Linked DNA regions of Ovis aries. The protein of the gene in region 1 interacts with the protein of each later gene in a pairwise test. Links are inferred from orthologs where the notes say so. Each region holds a gene or a part of one and is shown on either strand. Other genes may lie near its edges.

What was found.
Region 2: the proteins of DNAJA3 (region 1) and TCF19 interact in a two-hybrid assay, tested with the Homo sapiens proteins (2 studies listed by BioGRID and IntAct). The two-hybrid records come from large-scale screens. The link is inferred for Ovis aries from reciprocal best matches to the Homo sapiens genes DNAJA3 and TCF19.

What each region holds. Positions count from the first base shown.
Region 1 is NC_056077.1:4,163,283-4,172,663, forward strand, and holds part of DNAJA3 (dnaJ homolog subfamily A member 3, mitochondrial), read left to right. Parts: intron 1-41; coding exon 42-189; intron 190-1,248; coding exon 1,249-1,313; intron 1,314-2,454; coding exon 2,455-2,583; intron 2,584-3,036; coding exon 3,037-3,152; intron 3,153-3,889; coding exon 3,890-4,103; 3' UTR 4,104-7,810; coding exon of another isoform or gene 7,811-7,914; 3' UTR 7,915-8,469; coding exon of another isoform or gene 8,470-8,492; 3' UTR 8,493-9,381. UniProt on the Homo sapiens protein: Modulates apoptotic signal transduction or effector structures within the mitochondrial matrix. Affect cytochrome C release from the mitochondria and caspase 3 activation, but not caspase 8 activation.
Region 2 is NC_056073.1:27,058,202-27,068,300, reverse strand, and holds TCF19 (transcription factor 19), read left to right. Parts: upstream 1-4,603; 5' UTR 4,604-4,720; intron 4,721-5,147; exon of another isoform or gene 5,148-5,294; 5' UTR 5,295-5,474; coding exon 5,475-5,712; intron 5,713-6,751; coding exon 6,752-7,307; intron 7,308-7,560; coding exon 7,561-7,801; 3' UTR 7,802-8,344; downstream 8,345-10,099. Other genes in the region: CCHCR1 (coiled-coil alpha-helical rod protein 1), read right to left, coding at 818-1,121, 2,746-2,959, 3,038-3,104, 3,402-3,617; POU5F1 (POU domain, class 5, transcription factor 1), read right to left, coding at 9,629-9,895, 9,999-10,099. UniProt on the Homo sapiens protein: Potential transcription factor that may play a role in the regulation of genes involved in cell cycle G1/S transition. May bind to regulatory elements of genes, including the promoter of the transcription factor FOXO1.

The DNA.
Region 1 (9,381 bases):
GTGCACTGGTGTCTAAGGGTCCCATTTTTTTGTCTTTGTAGGAAACCATAAACACAGGCCCTTTTGTGATGCGCTCCACGTGTCGGAGGTGTGGTGGCCGGGGCTCCATCATCACGTCTCCCTGTGTGGTGTGCAGAGGAGCAGGACAGGCTAAGCAGAAGAAGAAGGTGGTGATCCCCGTGCCTGCCGGTGGGTCTGGGCTCCTCCACGCATGGGGGCTGGGAGCTGAGGCCACCTGCCCTTGTTTCTGGAGCTGAAACTCAGGGAGAAACCAGAGTCTCAGGCATTTTCCTCTGCACCAGTTACCCTTAAGATCTGCGTGTGTCATAAGGAAATGGCACCTCGCGTGCCTGCCCTGCTCCTGCGAGAAGCAGCTCCTCCACCTCTTTCTGTCCCAAGGCCAACCTTGTACCCACTGTCCGCCCAGCTGGGCAAAGCCACCCTCTCTGCCCCCAGGGCCGGCCTATGACCCCCACCCCCCACCCCAAACCAATCCTATTCCTGGAGTGGTCTTTGCCCAGGGTGGTCTGATTACATCTCACACTGTTGAAGACCCTGTGGCGGTTCTCAGGGGCCAAAAATTGGCCTCCTCTTCCAGGCCCTCCTGGTCTCAGCCTCCTATCTTCTTAGTCTCCCCCTTGTTGCCTTGCTGCCTGCAGCTTCCTCATCCCCAGGGGAGCCTTCTGGAAGCATTTGCTTAGATGTTCCTTTGGAGCTGTGATCTTTTCATTCTAAGCAATTATCTCTGTTTGTAGTGATACATGGTGTTGTTATTCAGCTAATAACTGTCTCCCCTGTGGATGTGCTCAGTGGCATCCAACTCATTGCAGGGACTGCAGCCCACCAGGCTCCTCTGCCCATGGGCTCTCCAGGCAGGAATACTGCAGCGGGTTGCCATTGCCTTTTCCAGGGGATCTTCCCCACCCAGGGAGCGAACCTGCTTCTCCATCTCCTGCATTGGCAGGCGGATTCTTTAGCACTGTGCCCCACTAGACTCTAAACTCACTGGGATACTAGGTGGACCTGCTGGTAAACTTGAATAAGTGAATGGAAGGTGCTTTCATTTGGTTATCAATTACGATATGCCACACCTTTGAAAAGTTACACTTGTTTTACTTGTTGCTGTATTGGGTAACTGTGTTGTTCCTTGTAACAGGGAACAGGAATGAGTAAGTGGGTGGGTTGTAAATAGATCTAGCGTAGAAAATGCCTTCAGACATCCCCAAATAATTGTTCTCTTGCTTACAGGAGTCGAGGATGGCCAGACTGTGAGGATGCCTGTAGGAAAACGAGAAATTTTCATCACATTTAGGGTAGGTGCTCTGTTTGCGCAGCCTCTTTTAGGCCCATGGTCTCGTGGAGAGGGTGCAGCCCAGGCTTCTTAGGGGTGAGGTGAGAGCTTCACAGAATGTGCCTGGCTGTTCAAGTTTCTAGTCAAGTAGTGGCCAGCTCAGCGGGATGATTAAACATGTGTTACATTAAGCTTTTGTGCTAAATGTGGAGAGAACAAAGTTACCCCAAGGTGTTTACAAGTTGGCCACAAAGCACTCATAAAAATACAGAAAACATCTTATATTTTTTATTGATGTATTGAATTGTTCATGGGGACAGTAAGTGCCAGAGCTACAGATTTATGTGTGACGTGCAGGCAAAGTTTTCTGAGGCAAGGATAACAGAGGAAGTACCACCTCTGCCACCGATTCTACCAGGCATGGCCCTAAGGAGGTGCGGCAGGCGGAGGCAAGGCGTGTGCCAGCCTCGTCTACAACGGTGAGACAACAGCAGCCAACGGCCTGCTGTCCTTCGGGAGGAGTTGGTGAGGGGGCTGCACTGTGGGCACCTCGGAGCAGAAGCTGGAGATGCACAGGTTTTTGTGAGACGCCCTGATAGCTCCCAGTTACGGACAGGGAGCGAGCGGGTTGCAGGCCGAGGAATGAGGTCATCTGTGTAGTTTCAAACCACGTGAGGTGGTGTCATGTATTGTTTAGGGACATGTAAACATGTAGAAAAGGTAAACAGACGCTCCTAGGAAAGATACAGACTAAACGTAGCGGCTACTGTGGAGGGGTAAGCAGGAGGGGGAGAAGTCACCTGTGTCCTGGTCTTCTGTGACCTAAGCAGGGTTGTGTGTACAGCGTGTGGTAATTACTTGTGCTGATTTACATGTGTGTGAAATATTTCATCTGTGTTTCTAATAAAGTAAGATTTTTATATTTTTTAAGTTTTCAAAATTTAGTTTTATTTCCCTCAAGACTTGAACAGCTTCATCTGAGAGGACACTGTGGCATTGCAGTGAAGGAAGAAGCTGCCCTGTAACTCCCGGAGCCTGGGGGAGGTGGGCGCTTTGGTGAAAGTACGCTGTCTCCCTGGATGCTGCACGCTGAGCCGCGGCTGTGGTCTGCTCTCCAGAAGGACTTCTCTGAGCGTGAATAACCCTCCCGTGCTTGACCCTAGGTGCAGAAAAGCCCTGTGTTCCGGAGGGATGGCGCAGACATCCACTCAGACCTCTTCATCTCCATAGCTCAGGCCATCCTCGGGGGCACCGCCAGAACACAGGGCCTGTACGAGACCATCAGCGTGACGGTAAGAGTGCAAGCACGTTCTCACTGCTCTTTTTGTTTTTCTAAAACGGGAAATGGCTGAAACCTGGGAACAACCTGGCGGAAGGCAGGAGGAGTGTGGGCCACACCTTGGGTGTGACTCGGCCGGGAAGCAGCTCCTGGGCCATGTCCATCCTGCTGGGCTGGGCAGCGGCCTCAGTGGCGCCGCGGGTTGGCTCTGCCTCCTCCCAGGTCCTACTCCCCGAGCTCCCTCCCTCCTGCTGTGGGCTCTCCACCCCAGACTCCTGGCCCCAAGCTCGTCACAGGCTCTGCTCAGGGTAGACTCAGCCTAGCCAGTTTCTGTGTGGGGTTTGGTGGGTTTGGTCTAGAAACCTGAATGGAGTTCTTTTCGGGAGTAAGATTGTCTTCATGTCGTGAGATGTTTTCATTTGGGCAGCTGGAGGTGGAGGAAAACCTGAGGTTCCTTTCTTTGTAGATCCCCCCTGGGACTCAGTCAGACCAGAAGATTCGGATGAGTGGGAAGGGCATCCCGAGGATTAACAGCTATGGCTACGGAGACCACTACATTCACATCAAGATCAGAGTTCCAAAGTAAGTGCCACCTGGTGTGGCGAGGCCCACCCGCTCTCTGTAGCTTCCAGCACCAGCAGGAGCCGGTCGAGGACTTCTCACCTCCTGGGCAGGTGCTGAGCCCGACCGCCAGCCTGTGTGGCACTTCTGCTATAAGCACTGAGGCTTAGGCAGGTTACTTCTCCCTCTAAGTCTGTCCTGCCCAGGTGCTCCTTCTGAAAGCGGACGTGATATAAAAGTTTGACCTTGCTGAGTAGCTGGGAGATGAAATGAATAACCCATAGGGAGCAGTTAGCTATTATTGCTGCTGTTGGTTTTATTATCACTCTCGGGTCGCCCTCCATCTGAGAGATGATCTAGAACCAGCTGGCGGCAGGTATCATGTCTGGCCTTCAGGAGAAAAGTCCAAGAGGGAGCTGTGGACATCTGGAACGGGGCTTGCCGACTCCTCTCAGAGGGCTGGGTTTCCAGCACTCTCTTTAGTTGATTTCCTGCACACACTTGTAACAGCTTTTCATTCCTCTGGTAAACTGTTTACCATGGCCACAGTGGCAGTTGTTTAGAACAACTCAGGGTAGTTGAAGAGGTTTACATTACAGAAGCTTTAAGGGTGTGGGCTCTTGGGTTCAGGGTGTGCCTGGTGCCTGGGTCGAGGGTCCTGCCTTTCCCACATGCTACATGGGGACTGGCCACGTCCACGTCCTTTTGAAGAGCTGCCCAGAGGAGCCACTCGGACACTGACTGCGCTCGGTCCACAGGAGACTGACAAGCCGGCAGCAGAGCCTAATCCTGAGCTACGCTGAGGACGAGACCGACGTGGAGGGGACGGTGAACGGCGTCACCAACACAAGTACTGGTGAGACAGCCCCGCGGCCCGTGGGAGCCCCCCAGTACCTGGGAGGGCAGACGGTTTGGAAGCATGTTGGGGTTTCCACTGGGGAATCTTCCTGGAGTCTCCAGAGGGCCCAGTAGTAAGAGAGGGGCTGAGCGTTGGGCAGAGTGGCACAGGGCAGCCACACTCTGGGGAAAGCTGGCCAGCAGGGCCCCCCGCCCCGGCCCTCATCCTCTGTGCACGTGCTGCTGGCCGAGGTCCGTGAGTTCTGTGACGCTTCCCTCCAGGGAGCAGCTCTGTGCCTTAGGGCTGCTCTCCTGAGTTCTAGCCTTGGTTCTGCCACTTGCCCTGTGACCTTGGGCTCATTCCTGCATGAGATCAGCTTGTAGCCACTAAAGGAGATGTATGTCTTCCTCGCCCAGAAGTCTTCCCCTGGATTTCAGAGTGTCCTGTAAACAGCAGCTGCAGCAGGCTTAACGACCCCAGGTCTGCCTGTGTGCAGCAGGTCTAAACTCTGAGCTTCTAGGGCCGTGAACAAACAAAACGCCTTGTTTACTTTGAGCTTAAACATCTGTAGAGTGCAGTTTATTATTGGTGATTGGTGAGTAGCCATGCCCCCCACTCTGACCTTGGGCAGAAGCTTTGGCTACAGGCACCCTTGGCTGCGGCCCTCCTCCCTCTGGATGGGGGTACTCTGCCCAGATGAGGTGCTCTGCTGGGATGGGGTGCTCTGCCGAGGAAACGCTGTTCCCTGTCAGTTGGGCCTCCTGCTGGGCTGGGACAGGCCGTGCTGAGGGTGAGTTGGCTTCTGCTGCCCGATGTGCTGCCTCCTGGTTGCACCACATTGTTTTTGTCTGGGTCCTGGATTTTCTGTCACCGTCTCAGAACTTGAGTGGTATTAGATTAGTGTGCAGTCAGAGCAGGTGATCAGAGCTGGGGGTGAGGTCTTGGTCTTGGAGCCCTGGGGCAGGGCTGGGAGTCCCAGTGGCAGCACCCTTTGCATGGAGTTGGCCGAGCTCCCCTAAATCCAGGGGACCAAGTCCTCTGTGAAAAAACAGCTGCCACAGATTCTGTCTTTGGCCAACTGGGCATAAAGTGAGCACTTACTTTAGTGGTTTGGTTCATAGACTTTTTCATATTTTCTTGTTACTATCCCTTGGACTAAAAAGAAGTGGGGATGATTCTTCCACATAACTCTACTTATGCACCTCTAGGTTTTTTTCCTGAGTCCCAAATAGTCCCACAGTCATAGAGCATGCGAGATTTGCTCTGCAACCAGCTTTCAGCCATGCGCCCCTCCCCCAGGGGAACTTGAGGTCTTCCTGACTGAGCTCTGAGTGAGACCCTGGGCCTTGTTCACTGTTTGCATGTTGGGTATTATCCACCAGTTGTTATCAAGCCCCTTCCTGAGAGCTCAGATTGGAAGTTGATCCTGCAGTCAGTTTCTGAGTAATGTCCTCGGTTCTCATCCTGTTAGCTCATTCCCTCTCCCCTCGTTTAGCCGAGATTTATTGAAAGGCTCTTATGTGCCAGACACTTTGCCAGTTCTTCGTTTTAAATTTCTATTGACATAATTTTGCTGAATATATCATGTTAACATATGTGTTGCATGTGTTTGTGAAGAGTTCATAAAGTGAAATGAGTGTCCTGAATTATTTTTTTTTCCACTCACTTCCATTGTCATTTCAGAATTGTATTCAGTGGGAAATATGGCTCCCAGACATAATTATTTAAATGGCTTTTAAGAATCTTAGCACTGGAATGCACTGTCGGTCAGTCTGCAGCCTGGGTGTGGTTAAGCCTCTTGTTACTGTGAAGAAAGTTACTTTTGCCGTCCACGTGTGAGGACATGGTGCACACAGTAACCTTTCCCGACGTCTGTACTAAGGTGCATCCTACTTATTCAAGTAGAGCCTGAGTCTCTGCTATTAAAGTTACACTGGAAGCAGTTGCCTGCAGTCATCAGTGGTTCTTAGGCTAGTGTGTCACTTAATAGCCCCCAAGTGCCCGTGGAGATAGTCACTGCAGATGCAGACTGAGTCCTGGGTGTCTTTGCTTTCACCACGGGAAAGGTATCGGGAAAGCATTTGGAAAAGTTACCATTCTGTAGGAAAACAACCTAAACGTTTTTGGTGGGTTTAGTATCGCTTGTTTATTTTTGTTCTCTGTAGCCCCTGCTGAAAACCTTAATAATGGCTGGCCCTGGCTTCGTTCCCAGTCTGAGAAGCAGAAAAACCTCAGCGAGCTGGGGGCCTGGGGCACTCTGAGGTTACTGAGTGACCTTTTGGGTTTAGAGACAGCATGGCTCGTTGTTTGTGTTTGTGGATTGTCATTAACTCCTGTGATGACCTCTGTACGTCCATTTAGCTGTCGTGCAGGAACCTCTTCCAGAGCTTGGATCCACCTGCGGTCTCTTCTCTGATGAGCTGACGGCATTGACTGTTGAGCCCCTTTATTTAGGTAGGGTGGAGGCAAGAGGAAGATGAGGAAAAAGACATTTTAGTGGAACAAGAGGCACTCTGCTGGCTCAGTCTGAGTGTGTAGTCAGCTCAGGTAGTCAGACTGCGTGTAGACCCCGCACCTCTGCCTGTAGGGTGGGTCCAGTCCTCAGATGTCACCCTGGAGTCCTGTTGGCTTCTGTTTCTCGCACTGATGGTCACCAAGCACTTGCCATGTGCTCAGAAGCGATGACCAGAGAGATGGGGTCCCTGCCCCGCCCAGCTTACAGTGTGAGGGGGGAAGGCCAGCAGGCACTGAACCCCCAGGTGAGTGCCAGACCTTGCTCATGACACTAGGAGCTTGTACCTGTGGAGAAAAAGGTGGTACAGATTCATGGAATGAGCGTTACCTGGTTATTCATCACCTTGTGAAGAGCCATGGATTACCTTCCCCACCTCTTCTGGAGACCTGCTGCCCGAAGCTGTGGGCCTCTCACCGGCAAAGGCATCTCAGACTGAGATCTTGGGGACATGGGCATTTGTCCTACACATTGCCCTTGATATACATCCCCCCGCACACTGACATGCGCTAATTTTCCTGGCACAATGAAAAACATTGAGTCCAGTCCAGCTCATAGCGCATTGGTCCTCTTGCCTCGTGGGTGGCCGATCTTTAACGTGCCGTGTTTGTGCAGAGGGGTCTCATGGCCCCTCTGAAAACAGAAGGGTGGCCACCCTGTCTTGGAGCATTTGGAGCCAGGTGCTTGCCCGGTGACACACGGGGCCCTTGGCTGCCCCGTCCCAGATGAGCAGCGCACATGTCCTGGGGTCCCGGGTGCTACCTGAAGATGGTCCGTGTGCACTAGCTGGGTGTGGAAGCTGGTCAGTGGCTCTCGGCACATGCTCTTCACCTTCTCAGAGCCTGGGCTTTGGTGTCTGACTGCTTGGGTCTGAACTCAGACCTCCTGCTCGCTTATTTGCTCTGTGACCTTAGTCATGCCACCTAACCCCTTTGTGCCTCTGGTTTTTGTTTCTTTCATCTGGAATTTACCTGTAAGGTTATCGTAAGGATTGACTGAGGTACGGACGCCATGTAGCCTGGCCTGGAAGGCATCAGCACCGGCTGTTTTTTGTTATGGTTGTTAAGGTGGGACAGCTGCCTGATGTCCCTTTCTGTTCCTTGTTTTCCTCTTGAGGGCCAGTGACTTGGGGAACAGTTGGGATGCTCTAAGTGCTGAGTCATCTGATGAACGGGACAACCCTGGACAACCTGATACGGCCACCTCTCCTCTCGGGGTGGCGCTTGGTGGCTCTTGGAGCGCGAGCCCTGGGTGGCCAGGCGGGGCCTGGGGCGGGCTGCGAGGAGGTCTGCACCCTTGACCCCAGTTCTCTCTGCTGTTTATGCCCAGGTGGCAGCACCATGGATAGCTCCGCGGGAGGCAAGGCTAGGCCTGAGGCTGGGGAGGACAAGGAGGGATTCCTTTCCAAACTTAAGAGAATGTTTACCTCCTGATATCCCAGCCGAGGTAGGAAAACCCCTGAGGTTCCTCCCCTTCATGCCCCTCTGAACTAATGAATCCCTGTTTTCCCTCATTTTAGCCAGTATCATCCCCCCACCCCGAGAGGTGAAGAGGTTCTCATCTCAGGCATGGTGTGAACCCAGCCTCAGCCCAAGGGGAGCTGGCCAGTAGTGCAGGGCTGAACCACCTCCTGGAGCCCCCAGCCCTCCTTCCACCATCTCCCGGGGGCATTGCATCCCGCCATGGTGGGAACCAGGTTGTCCATAGTCACAGAGGGCAGGTCACAGCAGAGCCAGGCCTAGAACTCAGATCTCCCTAGCCCCGCCCTGTCCTGCCTGGGATGTCTAGGGCAATGTCAGCTTTAGTGTGGAGTGGGGTGGGGCAGTGATGGGAGTCCTGCTTGCTCACCATGGTGTCTTGGGATACACCTTTCGTTTGTGCTGGTCCCTGATGGCGGGGGCTCCTTCCCAGGGACCGCAGAAGTTCACCAACAGGGCGTGTCCTTCCTGCGAGGCCAGTGAACTGTACCCGTTTGTGTCTTGGCTCAGGAAAACGGTCCACTGGGAACTAGGCAGGGAACAGCAGCACCTCCTCGTGGCCAGGGCACCTTGGACGCGGGAGGATTCCCCACGGCAGCACCGAGCCCCTGCCTGCAGAGGCCTCCGGACCGCCTTGGCAACAGCGAACTCACGTGGCCACGCAGCTCTTCACAGAAGGTCGCGGCATATGGGACAGACGCTGGGCAGTCAGGCATGGCCAGCCTCAGGGCTGGTAGTTTCCTTTCCGTGGGTAGGTAACTTGGCCTCTTCAGGCTCTGGCAGTCAGACGGCTGGACACTTCCTGCAGAGCTGAAACTCTTAATTTGGAACTGAATGTGGTTAAAGAATTAAAGGCCATGCTTACAGCTTGAAAATGAAGCCTTAAGTTGCACCGAGTTGTGACGTGATTGATTTCCTTCTCAGCAAACCTCCGGGACGTTCCAGAATGAGTCTTTCCTGACAGGTTATCCTTTCCAGGAACCTGGGGCACACACCCCACTGGTGTCACCCACCCTTCAGCTGGAGTTGGTTTTAATTCCCAAAGGTACTGAGCAGCTGGAACCTGGGGCCTGGAGGGCCTGGGTTGACACCTAGAGGACAGTCCCTGGAGAGTTCACTCTTGATCACATGGGCTGTGACCTCCGTCAGGAGGACAGGGTGGCCCTGTCCCCCGAGAGTTGAGTTGTGTTTTTCTAAGGCAGGCATGAGTGGGGCTCTTGCCCTTCTGCTGGACCACAGCCAGTGTGGCCTGGGGCTGACTGAGGGCCTCTCAACCCCAGCCCTGCCCCGCTGCTATCAGGGCCTTGGGTCTCACCACTCACTTCTGACTTGTGGTCAGACATGTGTTTAAATTATTCAGTGCTGAGAATCATTGTCTTTTCCCGTACGAGTGTTTGTTTAGAGGAGAGCGCAGTTTCAGCA
Region 2 (10,099 bases), on another chromosome or scaffold:
TTCCAGGCTGATTCTTTACCAGCTGAGCCACCAGGGAAGCCCATGATTTACCCTCTGATTCTACTCTGTCATTCCTAAGTTTGGTATTATAAAGTCAATATATATCAATCTTTTCTTTAATGGCTCTGGATTGATTCATAGGTAGAAAGTCTTTCCCATTCCCAAGTCACAAAGGAATTCACCCTCATTTTCTTTCAGGATCTTTATGGTTCCATTTCTGAACACAGCGACTGGTTGGGTGGCCTTCCCCAGCCCCTCGACCAGTGGGGCTCCTTTGTCCTCCTTCATGGTACTTCTCCCGATCACAGGTAATTAATTATAGTTAAATAAGGCACTGAATGTGTGTGTCTTCCACTGGGTTGTCAGCTCCACCCATGAGGACAGAGAGTTGACTGATTTGCTCACCCCAGTGTCCCAGCTCTTGTCTCAGGAATGGCAAAGAGGGAGTACGGACACATGCCTGCTGACTGAATTATCTCCCCTTCCCAGTCCACCTCAGGACCCCTCCCACACCCCTCACTCCCCTTCCCAATGCTCCCAGATGAACTGGGTACCTGGAGTAAAGTTGGAAGACAAACTACTTCCCCCTGGAACAGGAAGCAGGGCTTCAGGGGATGGGAGGTCACCTGAGTCTGAGCGGAAAAGGGCAATCTGAATAAGAACAACACACCCAAGTTCTCCCTCTTTCCAGGTCACCTGTATTTTTTTACCTTCACCAAACACCTCATCGCTCTTTTCGGCAAAACCTGCTCTTTGCTGGGGAGCTCCCGCCTAGCTCCCCACTGGGCAGCCGAGCCTTCCCCACACCCACATTCACCTGTTCTTGGTGCAGCCTCTGAACCTCCTCCAACTCCCGCTGGCTCCCTTCTTCCAGGTTCTTTCGGACAACCTCGGCCCCAGCCAGGGCGGCACGCAGGCCCTCAGCCTCAGCGCGGCCAGCCTTCTCCGCCCGTGCCAGTGCCTCCAGCTCCACGGCCTGAGCCTCCAGCCTCAGCTTCTGCTGCAGCGAGGTCTCCCGTAGCACCCGGACCTCTTCCTCCAGCCGCCGCAGCTCTCGCAGCTGTCGAGAGATCAGCTCAGCCTGCTGACTCAGGGCCTGTGACCCTGCCAATTCCGTGCACCTTCAGAGACAAGTTAGCATAGGTGGGACAGGTCAGTCAGGTGGTGAGAGCGGCCAAGGCATGAATGGAGACAAAAGAAGAGGAGAGGATCCCTCTGCTCCTATGTGGAGGGATGCAGGGAATGAAGCTGGGCCATGGGGATCTCTGCATTCCGTCACCATCATCATTCAAGGCAGCCCTACTAAGCATATCTGGGTCCACAGGACCTGAAAAGCTAGCTGAGTTCATGGACCATAACCTCTCTTGAAGGCAATATACAGACAGATGTGTTAACCATCACACGTGCACGTCATTAGGCTGCTGCTGCTGCGGCTGCTAAGCCACTTCAGTCGTGTCCGACTCTGTGCAACCCCATAGACGGCAGCCCACCAGGCTCCCCCGTCCCTGGGATTCTCCAGGCAAGAACACTGGAGTGGGTTGCCATTTCCTTCTCCAATGCATGAAAGTGAAAAGTGAAAGTGAAGTCGCTCAGTCATGTCCGACTCTTAGCGACCCCATGGACTGCAGCCTACCAGGCTCCTCCGTCCATGGGATTTTCCAGGCAAGAGTACTGGAGTGGGGTGCTATCGTCTTCTCCACATCATTAGGCTACACATTCTGAATTGGAGAAGTCTGAAGGACACTGAGACTGCTGAATTCTGACTTAAGGGCAGGGAAAAGTTTGATGGAGGTACAAAGAGAGGTGATGGCTTCCAGTATCAGTATGGCAAGGCCAGACGCCAGTTAAGATTATTTAACTGTTAGATATCCTGCATGAGAAGTCTGAGAGGGCAGCATCTCAATAAATCACAAAGTCCCAACCTCTAGAGAGCTGAAACCAGCTTATAAGATGATTCTTGACACAGTTCCCTCACTGAGGCCCAGAACCAGAGCACTGTAAAAAAATTTTTTTTCAGCTGTGCCATGCAGCTTGTGGGATCTTAGATCCCAAAGCAAGGACTGAACATGTGTCCTTCAGTGAAAGCCTGGAATCCTAACCACTGGACTCCCCAACACCTTTTTACAGGATCTGTAGCCTACAGAAATTAAGTGACTGGACAAAGGACCCCTAGAGGGTAGCCAAACAAGCCACAGAGTCTCCATCCCCTGACACTCTCACGCTCCCCTTTCATCATCCTCCTTCTTTCCCTTTGACAGGGCCCAAAGTAGACCCAATTGCAATCCTGCTCAGGAACAAAATGGCAGACGGATGGTCCAGTACATTTGGGAAAAGATTCACATGAAACATCAAGAATAAGAATTTTCACAGACAACACACTGACAGAGAGCATGGCCAGCTCCACCAGATGAACTCGTACTACTACAGCACCCAGTCTGTATACCCAGCCCACACTTCTTCAGCCTGCCTTATACTACGCTTAGTACAATCAGCTGTGGGTCAACCAATTTCTTCCCTTAGGATTTAAAATTCTTTGATATCAGGATATCTTATTTATTTTTGTTATCTTTGTCCCTAGCATCTAGCACACTGCTATTATTTATGCATTGTAGACACCAACAATTGCTTCTAAAAAAAAATGAACAAATTGTGGAACTAAGGGTTGAAAGAGGGTAAGGACTCTATTACAGTCAAGAAGGGTCATTGGCAAGCAAGCCCAAGAGAACAGTAACATTAGATCCATACCTGCCTCTCCACTCTGGTTCCTGCCCTTTGCCAGAAACTTCCTGTTCCCACATGGTAACTTGAGGTCTCTGGTTGTCTGGCCGCCTCTCTAAAACATCTTGATGGGTTGGGCGCTGGACCAGGGGAGCGTCTGAGGCCCATGTGGGAGCCATTCTCGGCAGTGTTGGAAGGGGCCGAACTTGGAAGTGGGATGGGGGAATCAGCCCAGTGGAACCTAAAGAATCGTAAGGACAAAGGTACTCAGTTCTCCAGGGAGACACAATCACCAGTCCCCATGCCAGGTCCCACTGACCTGAAGGTCGAAACATCTCCACATTATTTGAAGTCTCTAGAGTCGGTGTACAGCCATCTATGCCCCCCTAAACAATAGGAGAAACAAAGACACTCCAATTCAATTTTCAGGCCTCCTTCCAAAAAGAGAGCCCCTACAATAACAAAGTCATAATCCTTAAATAACAGCCAGGTCCATCCGACTCTTAGCTTTTCTTATTCTACTTCCCAAAAGAAGCAGGAAGTACCCCAAGATCCCTTGCTTGTCTCAGTCTGGTTCCTGACAGACTATGGCAACAGCCATGAGGTGGAGACAATTTACTGAGACAGGCTGAGGGGCTGTGAAGTTTTACTCATACTTTTAGAATTCTGGACAGTGCCTTTACCCTCCTCCTTAAGTTTCTATGGTCTCTGCAGTTCCTGGATGAAGGTGACAATTGAGGTATGCGATGCAGGGGCCGTGAGCCCAGTCTCCAGAGTTCTCTCCATGGCTCACCAAGACCTTGGGGAAGCCCATCCAGACACCACCAAGCCATGACTCCCGGGTCCTTCCCTATTAGAGCGCTGACCCAAGGCCTGGCCCCTGATGAATGCGGCCACATGTAGCACAGAATGCCTCCCCAGAACCCCTGGGGGAATCCAGGCAGCCTGGACTCCTTAGCAGAAAAGCCAGCTAGTTTCGGACATCTTATCCAAACCGTGCCAGCAACTTTCCACTCAGTTTCTCTCTATCGTCCCCTCAGCTTCCATTCCTGCCTCCCACCTGCCTCTCCAGAGTCCTAGAGCAGAGAGGGCTTGTCAAGATCTCCCCACCCTCCCACCCGAATTCATCTATTTTTCTCCCAATCTGGGATCCCTATCCCTCCCTACATCACTATTTGCTTTTATCCTGAAGGAATTATGCTGGCCCCTCACCCTCTCATGTCTCAGTAGCCTGCACTCCCTCCCTCCTCTCTCCCAGATCCTCCTGAGTCTTCGCCCTGCTGGACGCTGAGCTCTAAGGCTGTTCTGACCACCTCATTTGTTCCTTTACCCTGCCCTTACGCCCCTCCGCCCGGTGGACCCCTGAACCCACCCCCGCACCCCCTCTCAGCCCCTTCCCGCCCCCAACTGACTCTTCCCGAATGCCCCTTACCCAGCGCGAGAGACCCCACAGCCCTTTGGCCACACCCCCTACACCTAGCTCCCGGTCGCTGCCTGGATCCCTGGCCGCGCCTGCGCAAAGCGGGCAGGTTGGCGGGACGCTCTTAAGCCTGTAGGGTTACCTCTCCGGAAGGAGGCGGGGAAGCGGCGCACGCAGGCGCAGTAGTGTCTAAAGCCAGGCCCAATTAAGGCGTTAGGGGTTTCTCCGCGCCCTGGCGGCTCCTCCCAACTCCGGGAACCCGGGAAAACTTGTGAACTAATCAGAAAACGCGGAAGGCGGGAGATCCCAGCGCGTCGCCCAATGGAGAGAAGGAAGGCAAACGAGATGGCCAATCAGAAACGGCTCGGGGGACGCGCTCACTCCGCTCGAAGTCCGGACCCGGGAATTCCGAAGGCGGGGTCGACGATGCGCGCGCGCGGAGACCGCGCCCCTCCTGGCCCTGGCTTCTTCGCTGTCAAACAGCCGCAGGAGCACCAACCCCGGCCGATCCCGAGAGGTCCTGGGCTGCGGCATAGGCTGGCATTACCTGGAGAGGGAACCATTCCGAGACTGCACAGCGCGGTAGATACGAATCCGGGCTGGGGCGGGGAGGGAAAAGGCTGGATTTGTCTTGAATCATCCTGGGAAGCCCTTTCCTCTGTTTTTATCCCACCTGGAGAAACCAGAAAGCAGGGGTTTAGATCCACTTTGTTGGACAACGTAGAGCCCCGTTTGCACTGCCTTTGAGGGGTGACTGAGTACATTTCCCACTGGGGGTCAAGCTAGCTAGTTATGAATGAGGAATTGGTTAGAAGAGTGAAGCGTGAGCTAGCAGGCGGGTTACTCTATTAGGAAAAGCAGGTTTGACAGGAAGAAGCTTCTCATCTCTAAATTACACTGAAGAGGCAAGTTAGTATATCACACAGAAGCAGCGCCCCTCCCCCGCCCCCCCCACACCTACAGTTCGAATTTCCCTATAAGCTGCCTAATGTATTGTTGACTTGCCCAGATTGAAGGCTCCTGGAATATTTTGCGGCCTGAGGATCCGATTCAACTTCGTGCCACAGGACGCCTTCTATTTTGCACTACACTGGAACTTTCACCAAATTTTTTCCGTTGCAAAGCTGTTGACAGCCAATTTTACATCGCATCCTAGGCTCCGTGCACCCTGAATTTGCCCTACTCAGGGAGTGTGCTCAAAGTCGAAATTGCACAAAGGATAGCTCAAGTTTGCATCAGACGGAAAGTGAATTTAGGCCAGCTGTGCACGGCCCAGGAAAGTGGACAAGGTGATGGATTCCTGAAGTGAAGAGGTGGTGCCGAGGGGGCCCCGCCCATGCTGCCCTGCTTCCAGCTGCTGCGCATAGGGGTCGGCAAGGGTGTCGATCTCCACACCTTCCACCCCCCCAGTGGAGCTGGCTGCACCTACCGTTTGGGCTGCAGGGCCGACCTCTGTGATGTGACCCTGCGGCCACAGCACGAGCCAGGCTTCATTTCTGGGGTCCACGCAGAGCTGCATGCCGAGCGCCAGGGTGATGACTGGAGGGTCAGCCTGGAGAACCACAGCAGCCAAGGTGAGGAGTGAGCAGAGCAGCCTTATGCCAGGGCAGTCGCAGTTTTGGGCTGGAATGAATTAAGAGACTCCACAGGGACTCTGCTGGCCTCCCAAACTCCCCATCAGGTTGGATGGACGGTTGTCATGCAGACTTCTGTCTTTCCACCAGAAATGTGCAGTGTCGGAAGCTCTTTGTGGGGCTGATCCTGTTTAGCTTATAGAGTGGGTGGGAGATAGATCCACAGACTGGGGCATCACAGTGGGGATGTTCTGAGACCATGGTGGGCAGTGAGGGGGCAAGCTTAGACTTCAGTTTCCAGATTGTTTAGACATTTGTCCTTGCCTTAGGGCAGTTGTGTTTTATGTTGAATTATCTTTTAATCATCCGGACATGGGCGTTACTCCCTGACTTGGAGGCAGTTAGGCAGCCTCAGGAGGCCTGGGTTTACGAGTTCTGCTGTTGGCCCCTGGTAACATCACTCAGACCTGCCACTTCACCTCTCTAGGTCTTAGTTTCCTCTTAGCTAAAATATGTCTTTGAAAGTGAGGAGTGTTGTGGGGATTAGATAACTTCAATTGGCCAACATTCATTTCCTGTTTATTATTATGCGCCAAGAACTGTTTTATGTGCATTAAATATAGGTGAGCACAAATGCCTCATTTTACAAAGAAAATGAAGCATAAAGAGGCTGACTTGTCCAGGGTCACGTGACAGGTAAATGGTGGAATTTGGATTTGAACTCAGATAGTCTGAGCTATGCTGTTAACTGGAACTGAGAGTGAGCATCTCTGAGACCCAGACCTCAGTGGATTGAGGGAAGTTCATTTCATGTGCCTTGAGGGAGAGCATAAGGAAAAAAAAAAATTCTTAGCTCCCAGGGAGTTTCTTATCTGATGACACCTACTTACTGAGGGACTTAGAATGTGAGGATTTCATGACATGCATGTGTTCTTCCTCATATTTCCCAGAAAACCAGACAGGACCAGATTTCTCCACTGCTGACCAGTCGTTTGTTTTTGTCGTTCTCTTTATCTGTCTGGTGCCCCATAATCAACAGGGACTTTGGTCAATAATGTCCGACTCCCAAGGGGTCACAGGCTGGAATTGAATGATGGTGATCTTCTGACCTTTGGCCCTGAAGGGCCCCCAGGAACCAGCCCTTCAGAGTTCTACTTGTTTCAGCAAGTCCGAGTCAAACCTCAAGATTTTGCTGCCATTACTACCCCACGGTCTAGGGGAGAAGAGGGAACCGGGGTTGGTTTCCGGCCCATGCTGCCCTCCCAGGGGGCTCCACAGCGTCCGCTCAGCACCCTCTCCCCAGCCCCCAAAGCAACGCTGATCCTCAACTCCATTGGCAGCCTCAGCAAGCTCCACTCGCAGCCCCTCACCTTCTCACGGAGTGGGGGTGGGCCACAGAGTCCGCCTATTCCCACTCCCACCGGGCAAGCGGGGACTGCCCCTTCTGCCCCACCCCCAAGAAACCGGAGGAAGTCGGCTCACCGCGTGTTGGAAGAACTGGATGATGAGAGAGAGGCTCCCAAGAGCCCCTCACCAGTCCTGCCGGAGCCTAGGAAAAAACTCCGCGTAGAGAAAACCCCGCCGACACCCAGTGGGTAAGTGAACTTGGCTTTATTTCACTGCCTTTGGTTCTTTTAGAGCCCTAGGTTGAGATGTACCTAAATGCGTGGGTGGTGGGGATGGGAGATGGAACACCTGTTGTGATGACAAGACCTGGGTTAGCTGTGCTAGCCAGATTCACCATTAGTCTAGTGAATCTCTATGGGGTCCCTCTGCAGTTATCCAGGGGAGAAGTTCCAGGCTTCTACAGGTTTCCAGTGACCTTGGTTTTTGTGTCCCTTCCTTCAGAAATCGACGCGGGCGTCCTCGGAAGCACCCACTGAGCAACTCCAGGGCTCCCCCTGCAGTTGGGGGCGGGGAGCCCTGTGCAGCCCCTTGTTGCTGCCTACCCCAAGAAGAGACAGTGGCCTGGGTTCAGTGTGATGGCTGTGACATCTGGTTCCATGTGGCCTGTGTTGGTTGCAGCATTCAGGCTGCCAGGGAGGCCGACTTCCGGTGCCCAGGCTGTCGTGCAGGCATCCAGACCTAAGGCCCACCGCCAAAGCACCAGAGGACAGAGCCAGCACCTCCAGGCCAGGGGTGGACACTGAGGGTGCCAATGGGTCCTAAGAGCTGCCCTCTTCTATCCTTGCCTCTCCAGGAGGGAATGACTCAGGAGAAGGGTCCACTCCTGTGGATTATCAATTCAAGGCCTGGAGCAGGGCCTTGTGGCCAAGGTGACAGAAGAGATGGCTTCCTGCCAAAGATACTGCTGCCTCCAGGAAGTTACCAGTGAGCTGGAAATTCCCACTGTCACAAGCTGTAGGTCCTTGTCATGGATACTAGAATGTCTGTGGTCAAGAGCACCCATCAATTGTAGAGGTCATGCCTGGGAAGGTATAAGCCCCAGCCTTGAACAAGCAAGTTCTTAATGTTTTTGATGGTATCCCTAAGGCATTTCTAGAGCACAGACCCCAAACTTCCTTACATTGTGGGTGGTCCTGCTGCTGACCACAATGACTGTGACCTGACTTCTCAGAGCTTTGCTTCCATTTCCAAATAAAGAATGAGCAGCTTCATACGCTCTAAGGTATTTACTCTTTGTGTGGGTCTGATACTCCTTGCCTTCCAGTTCTTGACAGAATGGAGTTGGTTAGTCTGGAAAATTAATTCAGATACTTACAGGAAGAGACAAGCAGATGAGGCAGAGGAAGACAGGAAAAGGGGAATCTAGGTAATTACAGTTGCTAATTTAAAAGGAAACATTCACTGCCATTAAAATGTCATTTGGATTTGATCAAGTTCATGAGGGTGGTGGAACTTCTACAAGTTTCATCAGTACTACCAAGAAGAGAGAACCTGAGACACCAGCTAGAGCAGATGTCAGCCTGGTCCAGGATCGATACAACCCACATATGCTCCACTGAGTCTCTTCTCAGTTGCACACCAAGTCAGCACACTGTCAAAGCAGTGTTTCTATAGTTCTTACTAGGAAAGTCCTGTCTTGACCTATCTTCTTGCAACCTGCATGTCCATCCCCTTCCTTCTCTACTTAGACTTACCAACCCAAATGTTTTTACGGATCAAGGAAAAGCTCCAGAGGAAGAGCCCCAGTTAGGAAGTGGCAGCGTCAGGTCTAAAGTGTGTGTAGTGGTAAGTGAGTCACAAACAAGGCAAAAACCTTAAGTGAAAACCAAATGGACCCCAGTATCAAGAAAGCACAAAGTGGCGTTTCTGGTTGGACTGATAGAAGAAATGAGTAAAGGCTTGATTTCTTAGCACAAAGCCACTGAGGACTACAGAGAAGAATGGAGGAAAGCAAAAACCCAGATCCTAATAGGGAACGGACTATGTAATAACTGCCTCTTTGGGCAAAGGTGTTCATCTCCAATTTCTGCAGGACCGCAAGTCAGAGGTTCCTAAGAACTAGCTCACACTTATAAAGAGCCCTGTCCATATAAACTTAGGATCCAACCCCACAGCTCCCTCTGACATTGTGACTGCACAGTGTAAACAGCAACCTTCGTTTCGGGGTCATTTAGGTCTGAGAGCTGTTAATACCCACTATTAAATATCCTATCCACTCTTCAATAACTAGAGGATAAACCAAAGACAAAAATATCCACCTACTAGGTCCCAGGCTTCTTTATTTAAGAACAAAGTGATGAGTGATGTGGGGATTAAAGTCAAGAGCATCATTGAACTTCACCTTCCCTCCAACCAGTTTCCCCAAACTCCCTGCCCCCACACCCATTGTGTTCCCAATTCCTTTCTTAGTGAATGAAAAACTTAATCCCAAAGCCCTAGTACAAACCCCAGGGTTCTCTCCCTAGCTCTCCCCTTCCTCTGCCCCCCATTCCTGGGGTGAGCAGGCACCTCAGTTTGAATGCATAGGAGAACCCAGAGCGGTGACAGACACCGAGGGAAAGGCCTCACCCTCAGGGAATGGGACCGAAGAGTACAGCGTAGTGAAGTGAGGGCCCCCGTAGCCTGGGGTGCCAAAAGGGGGCCCTGGCGCCAGAGGAAAGGATACGGGTCCCCCTGCGAAAGGAGACCCAGCAGCCTCAAAATCCTCGCGTTGGGAGTAGTCACTGCTTGATCGTTTGCCCTTCTGGCGACGGTTGCAGAACCACACTCGGACCACCTAGGAGTGGAGGACACGGGAGGGGCATTTGGTCCTGAGACCTGGGAGGTGTGACCGGGGAGGAGGAGACGGCACACACAGGGACAGGGGCAGGTGCACTCACGTCCTTCTCCAGCCCGAGCTGCTGGGCGATGTGGCTGATTTGCTGCAGGGTGGGCTTCGGGCACTGCAGGAACATGCTCTCCAGGTTGCCTCTCACTCGGT